2 linked regions of the Caenorhabditis elegans genome follow. The protein of the gene in region 2 purifies or fractionates together with the protein of the main gene of each other region. This does not show direct contact. Each region holds a gene or a part of one and is shown on either strand. Other genes may lie near its edges.

Region 1 (3,453 bases), on a different chromosome or scaffold from region 2:
GTTACACATAATGGGCGTCGTCACACTCATGTTTATTATAAAACAGCGGAACTTTATAGCGATTTTGAAAGGTTCCTTTCGTTTTTCGGTATGATTTAAATTTACTTCTTTACTTTACTTTACTTAGTTTGAATTTCAGATGACACGTGCAATTACCATATTCCTCTTGTGTTCTCTTAGTGTCTACGTGGCAAGTGATCAAATTATGGTTGGAGCACTTCAGAAGATTTTCCCGTATGCTGCGGCGGCGAAGGTTAAAACGGTGAGTTGTTGTTGATGTATGGATGTATTTTATTATGAAAAAGTAATGAAAATTCACTAAAAATTAGCGAAAATTCAAAAGAATCGTTTAAAAGCCCGTCAAGTTTGTTGTATTGTACGCAACTTATTACACACCGCGGCTCTCCATTTTCCTCTACGCTCTTAAGACAGGCTCTCCGCCGTGTCCTCGGTAGTATAGTGGTGAGTATCCGCGTCTGTCGCATGCGAGACCCGGGTTCAATTCCCGGCCGGGGAGAATTTGTTTTGGAACGGCTTCTTCCGATAACTTACTTTTTTTCAGCTAACCAACACTGTAAATAAGCAAAAAAGTATAGCCAAGGCGAAAGCAGTGGTGAAGAAATGGGTGCCGAAGAATTGGGTGAGTTTATAACTATACCTCAGTTTACCAATAAACCTGTAATTTTTTATTCAGAAAGCCACAAAAGTCAAGCCAGATGCCAAAAATCCCCTCTCAAAAAAAGGTTATGCAGAGAAGAAGGCGATGACCTTTATAGACTACAGATACTCCCTTATAAAGTACATCAATTATCTTTATAAACAGGCAATCGCCACCAAATACTTGACCAAAGAGGAGGCAACTAGTGTGAGTTTCCTTCAAAAATTTTAAGGCTCCAGGGCCACTTGGAGCAAAGTTACAGCTGTTTGTAGTTTTGATTGTAGTTTTGATAGCGCGGCGCGGATACGCAGCGGTTGCGTTGCGGCCGCGCCGCTGTCGGCTTAAAAACTTCAAGCCGGTATATCTCTGCTCAAAATTAGCGTAAAGCTTCAAAATTTTCAGACAAAATTCAGAATACCTAACACATTCAATAAATGTGTCTCTTTTTTAGATGAGAACCTTGTTCTGGGCTGCTGACGCCAAGGCGAACAACAACTACATCGAGACAACGCAGACGTTCATGGTGGAGGCTTCTCAAAAGGTATGAGACCTCTTGTTTAAAAATTCGATAGAATTTCAAAGTTTTCAGATTCATAAGACCCCTTCAATCGATCAAGCTATGGGCGAATTGTCTGGAAAATTCGCGAAGGCTAACGCTAAAGACAACGCTAACCTACAATGGACTCTGTGATATATTTGTAAAGGAATAATGAAGTTGTTCTTTTTGGTTTAAACATCAGTAAAGACTGCTAGAATAGTTATACAGTGGAATTTTTGATAAATTTGAAACTTTGAATTTCGAATTTAAAATTTGCTGTTTTCCATAACATTTTGAAAATTGATGCATAGATTGATGAGGTTAGAGTTGAGCCTTACTTTAGTAGTTTGTTCAATGCACTATGGCTTGCACCAAAGTTGATGGAACATGATCGTTTCCGTCAAACGTGATAGCTAGCACATTATATAAACTGTGTAAATAACAGTGATTCATTAATAGTAGCATGCGGAAATAGTTTTTTTTTTTTTTGAATGAGAATACATACAATGATGTTTTATTAGTTTCGTAGGATTGATCGGTAGAAACTTCCGTATATGACGTTTACGCTAAATAGATATTTTACATAATAAAATATTACAGTAGTTCACTACATGTATATGTTTAAAGTTTAAAATTAGATTTACTTAACGTATTTCCTCAATTATTCCTGACAAATTGTGTGTAGTCTTGTTTAAAATAATGCATCTCATTGTATAAAAAGTATGTCAATTGTTCTAACTAAAAACTACTTTCATAACTTTATTTTTCATACTTTGTCCCATCATACGATTGGACTTACTGTCGGATTAAACATGGTGGGCGTCAACTGTTATAAAGAGTGCACGTATACAGCGATTTTGAAAGGTTTTTTGTATTAATTTTCGGTGCGAATTGGATTCAATAACTAGTGAGACTTTCAGATGACACGTGTCATTTCTCTGTTTCTCCTGTGTTCGCTAAGCGCCTACGTTGCAAGTGATCAAATTGTGGTTGGAGCACTTCAGAAGATTTTTCCGTATGCTGCGGCGGCCAAAGTTAAAACGGTGGGTTTCAGACTTTAATTCAACGAGAAAAGGTAACTTTGATTTCATTTTCAGCTAACTACCAATGTGAATAAACAAACCACAATAGCCAAGGCAAAGACTGCAGTGAAGAATTGGGTGCCGAAGAATTGGGTGAGCAGCATACTTACAACTAAGGCTTCCATAATTCCAATATTTCTAGAAAGCAGCAAACGCAAAGCCGGATGCCAAAAATCAGCTCTCCAAGCAAGCCTACGCACAGAACAAGGCTCTAACCTTCATCGACTACCGATATTCTCTCAAAAAATACATTAACTACCTATATAATCAGGCAATTTCCACAAAGTACTTGACTAAAGCTGAAGCAAACAATGTGAGTTTTCTATTGCTTGTCAGGGTCTGAACCTAAAATATAAAATTGTTCCAGATGAAAACCATGTTCTGGGCTGCTGACACCAAGGCAAACAACAACTACACCGTGACATGCCAGACATTCATGATGGAAGCAATGCAAAAAGTACATTAAATCCTTGTTTTGAAATCTGAGAATTATATTTTTTAGATCAAGAAGACCCCAACAATTCAAGACTCTGTGACAGATTTGACTGGAAAGTTTGCGAAGGCCAACGCTAAAGACTATGCTAACCTTCAATGGACTCTATAGTTTTTCTTACTTCGAAAAATGAAATATTGTTATATTGTAGGAACAAGAATATTGAACAATCCATACATGCCAAGTAATTTGCAGTGTAGTTTTATCCGCTTTAGTACATTATTGTCTATGTAAATAAACCCTTTCAAATTAGTTTTCAGGTTCGAACATAATCTTTTTATTGCACTTTGCCTCATCATGTGATTGGATAAGCCAGCGGGCACACTCTCCACGAATTCCAGAACTCCAGGACCGCAATGCACAAAGTTATGAGCTTTCAAAAACTGGAGGGTGTGCGACGCGGCCGCGTCGCGGTCTACCTCGCCCAAGTTCACGTCCATAACTTGGCTCCCAGTGGTCCAATTGAGCTGAAATTTTTAAGCACATAATAGAATTATTGATCAATCTTTCCATTACTTCAGTATACTTGGAAATTCGAAGTTTTCGTAAACTGGGGTTCGCTGAAATTCGAGTTATTTACAGACCCAACAGAAACTGTGTTTCGTAGCACAAATATTATATGCAATAAAACTCGGAGATTCTGAAAATGTAATAAAACATTTAATTAGATGTCTTGCTGATA
Region 2 (3,755 bases):
TCTAAACTTACGCAGTCTGCAAATGCCTACTTGGCACCAAATATCTCGTAGTAATCCTTGCAGCCTCTTCGAGCAACTTCTTCGAGCTCTCCTCATTATTAGTCATCATATATACTTTGGACATAAGAACCAGATTGAAATGAGTAGATCTACTCTCTGCGAGTTCTTCCATTTCTCGGATTCGTCGATGAACATCAGCGTAGTCTTCGCTGGTACACAACTTCAGGAATGTAACAATCATGGAAAGATGTGGAGTGAGAGTTCCGTTCTTTTCAGCTTCTGTGAGAAGTCTATTGGCATTGTTCTGGAAAATTAAATAATTATAAATAAGAAAATTATGAATTTAAATTTACTGTATCCGCCATCATTTGTTGCTCATGATTCGTCACTGCTGTATCGAGAACACATCCATTATACTGAAACCATATTTTTAGAGAATAAAAATGATTTAATCGAATTACCACAAAAATAGATGCAAACGAATAAAGTTTGAAAAGTCTTTCCTTATCGTCTTTTGGAACTGATTCCAGGAATCTGAAAATTAGAAAAAATTAGACAAGACCTGGAAATATTTTGGAAAATCAAGAAAAAAAACTAACTTATCCAAATCTGCCATAGTATACATTAGCTCAATCTTGAGAATATCGAAAGCATCTCTCATTAGTTTTTTGCGTTCCTCATCCTCTTCTGATCCAATCAGTTCGTTAATTTTTGCTCCAACTTTATCGATATATCTCGTTGCCTCGTTAGGATCAGTACTGTAGCTTAGCATTTTTCCACGCAAGATCATTGCCGGAGGATAGCTGTTTTCCTCAGTAAGCAGATCAATCAGTTCTTCGTATTTTCCTTTTTTGAACTTTTCCAGTGCAAGTTGGTATTGTCTGAAATTTATAATTATTTTTACTGTATATCTAGAATTAGAGCTTACTTCTGGTCTTCACTGAGCACTTCTGGTTCGAATCTGGTGAGATCTGTTTTGAAAAGATCAAGAATATCCCAAGTATCACACCACTGCTGAATTCTGAACAAAGCTACTGGCTGTGGCTTAACATCTTCGATTTTGAGTGGTTTTCCAATGTGACAGTCGGACATCTAGAATAAAAAGTTGAGTTTCTTTAAGAAATTGTTAGGCTCTTACGGGTTCTATAGCAAGAAGCTTTCCAAAGAATTCGAAATTCGTCTTATTCAGGCTAGAATCCAAAGTGAACGCGGCAAGAAGATCTAAAAACAGGAATTGATACTTTTCTCGTAACATCTTCAGAAACTCACACGCCAGAGCATCCTGTTTCTTTCCGACGTCATTAAGTGCTTTTGCTGCTCTCAAGTATGCTTTGGTGTATTTTTTGTCTACTTTCAATGCAGCCATACAGTCGTTGAGGATATCAAAAGGGCTGTGTCCAACCTTTTCACGACAGGCTGCACGATTTTGGTAGAGCATTGCGACAATTTGATCAGAAGAGTTTGGTCCGGCCTTTTCGACTCCTTTTGTGAATGCTTCTAGTGCGGAATCGTATTGTTTCTCTTTAAACTTCAAATTTCCCAATGCTTTTATTTCCTCCAAGTCCCTTTCCAGCTGAAATTAGTTTTGAAATTGATATCATTGTACACTAGAAACTCACGTCTGAACCTCCAAAACTCTTATATACCAAGTATCCTACACCTGCAACTGTCGCTGCAGCTGCCACACCGATCAGCACTTTTTTCGTTTGGTCGCTGATTCCAGTCGTTTCGACCATTATATCTACAAAATAATAAATAGATAAATGATATAAGTTAAGATTAAGTTAGAAAAATTGAGAATTCAAAGAGAATGAAGAAAAATTGGTAAAATGATGTAAAATTTCAGTGATAAGAAAAGTAGGCAATATTTACGATAAACAGCATGCGGTGGAATTCCGGAGTATCGTCGCAAGTTGTAAATAAAATTGGATCCAAAATAACTTTGAGAGGGAAAAGGTTACGAAAAGAAAAAAAGGTTGAAATATTATCAATATATTTTCTAATTAGGGATTTAATAAATAATTTTCTAGAGCCAACCAATTTCATCAATACAATCCAAATGGAATTGAGGAAATGGATACTTCTCAGAAATTCGACATTCCACCAGGAGTTCCAACATGTCTCGTGCCATTCGATAAAGTTTGGGAAGAACAATTCTGGGCAACTGTTAGCTATTATGAATTGAATACAAGAGTCGGAGAACAGGTTAAAGTGTCTTCAACAACTATAACTATCGATGGATTCACTGATCCATGCATCAATGGAAGCAAAATTAGCCTGGGACTGTTTTCGAATGTAAATCGAAATGCAACTATTGAAAATACAAGAAGACATATTGGAAACGGTAAGAGCACCCACGGCCTCGCCACGAACGAATTACTTTCAAATCAAGGCCGAGCAAAACACGCGTGCGCCTTCAAGAAGTACAGTAACCTGATTTTCGGGAGATTGGGTACCGTACTTCGGCGCATAATTTTTGCAAGACTATGACTAAAAAATTGAAAATTTTCAAACTTTTTGTAATTCCAGGTGTCAAGCTAACCTACGTACGTAGCAATGGCTCACTCTTTGCTCAATGTGAAAGTGATTCAGCTATATTCGTACAATCTAGTAATTGTAATTATATCAATGGATTTCACTCAACAACTGTTGTTAAAATTGCAAATAAGTGTTCACTGAAGATTTTCGATATGGAGATTTTTAGACAGGTAAGCTAATTCACGTAATTGCAATGTTTGAGTCAAGAAAAGGTCTCGTCACGCACAAAATAACTTAAAATTGCAGTCTCACAGCAATATGTGTACCTTTAAGCAGTACGGTAGCCTATTCTTATACTTTTTGAAAAAAACTGGGTTACTGTACTTTTTAAAGGTACACACATTAAAACTGGCGAAGCCATGTTCTTGGGCAAAAAATAGTAACTGAAACTATTAGGTCTCCAAATAAGTTCCGGGTCAAAAATCATAACTTTGTTCACTGCGTATCGATTTTTATGAAACTGTGGGAATTTATGTTATCAACCATGATCTTTCATTTGACAATAGTCACAAAATTTTTTTGCCGTCCGAAGTGCCCTAACTCGGAGCCAAATTTTTCAGGCATTTTTCAGATCTCGCTTCTTTTACGTTTTGATTTGAGGTTCGTGTGCGGATTTAGCTTTGTTTAGTACACAATGTAAGAAAACAAGAAAAGTTTGGAAAAAATCCGTTAAAAAAAAAATTTTTTTTGTCGGTCGTCAAAAAATGTTCAAAAAAATTTTTGTCCAAAATTCTTGATTTTTCATACAAAAATGATGTAACCATGTGCAAAATAAATAGTTTGCACATGGTTACATCATATTTGTATAAAAAATCAAGAATTTTCGACAAAAACTTTTTTGAGCATTTTTTGACGACCGACAAAAAAATTTTTTTTTGGACGGATTTTTTTCTAAACTTTTCTTGTTTTCTTACATTGTGTACTAAACAAAGCTAAATCCGCACACAAACCTCAAATCAAAGCGTAAAAGAAGCGAGATCTGAAAAATGCCTGAAAACATTGGCTCCGAGTTAGGGCACTTCGGACGGCCAAAAAATTTTGTGACTATTGTCAAATGAAAGATCATGGTTGATAACATAAATTCCCACAGTTTCATAAAAATCGATACGCAGTGAACAAAGTTATGATTTTTGACCCGGAACTTATTTGGAGACCTAATAAGAAAAACTAAATTTTTCAGCTTCTCGAGGACTGCAGTCGCCGTGGATTCGACGCCT

Evidence for each region.
Region 1: the proteins of tomm-70 (region 2) and Y54G2A.32 fractionate together in Caenorhabditis elegans (co-fractionation; one large-scale study listed by BioGRID). This does not show direct contact.

What each region holds. Positions count from the first base shown.
Region 1 is NC_003282.8:2,801,892-2,805,344, forward strand, and holds Y54G2A.32 (DUF148 domain-containing protein), read left to right. Parts: upstream 1-2,116; coding exon 2,117-2,239; intron 2,240-2,293; coding exon 2,294-2,371; intron 2,372-2,420; coding exon 2,421-2,591; intron 2,592-2,645; coding exon 2,646-2,735; intron 2,736-2,780; coding exon 2,781-2,882; 3' UTR 2,883-2,914; downstream 2,915-3,453. Other genes in the region: Y54G2A.44 (DUF148 domain-containing protein), read left to right, coding at 11-88, 140-262, 563-640, 695-865, 1,110-1,199, 1,248-1,349.
Region 2 is NC_003281.10:8,753,010-8,756,764, forward strand, and holds the start of tomm-70 (Mitochondrial import receptor subunit tomm-70), read right to left. Parts: upstream 1,742-3,755; 5' UTR 1,737-1,741; coding exon 1,620-1,736; intron 1,574-1,619; coding exon 1,270-1,573; intron 1,222-1,269; coding exon 1,139-1,221; intron 1,093-1,138; coding exon 929-1,092; intron 882-928; coding exon 600-881; intron 535-599; coding exon 462-534; intron 417-461; coding exon 354-416; intron 305-353; coding exon 12-304; intron 1-11. Other genes in the region: Dwarfin sma-2, read left to right, coding at 2,031-2,344, 2,530-2,708, 3,719-3,755. UniProt on the Caenorhabditis elegans protein: Receptor that accelerates the import of all mitochondrial precursor proteins.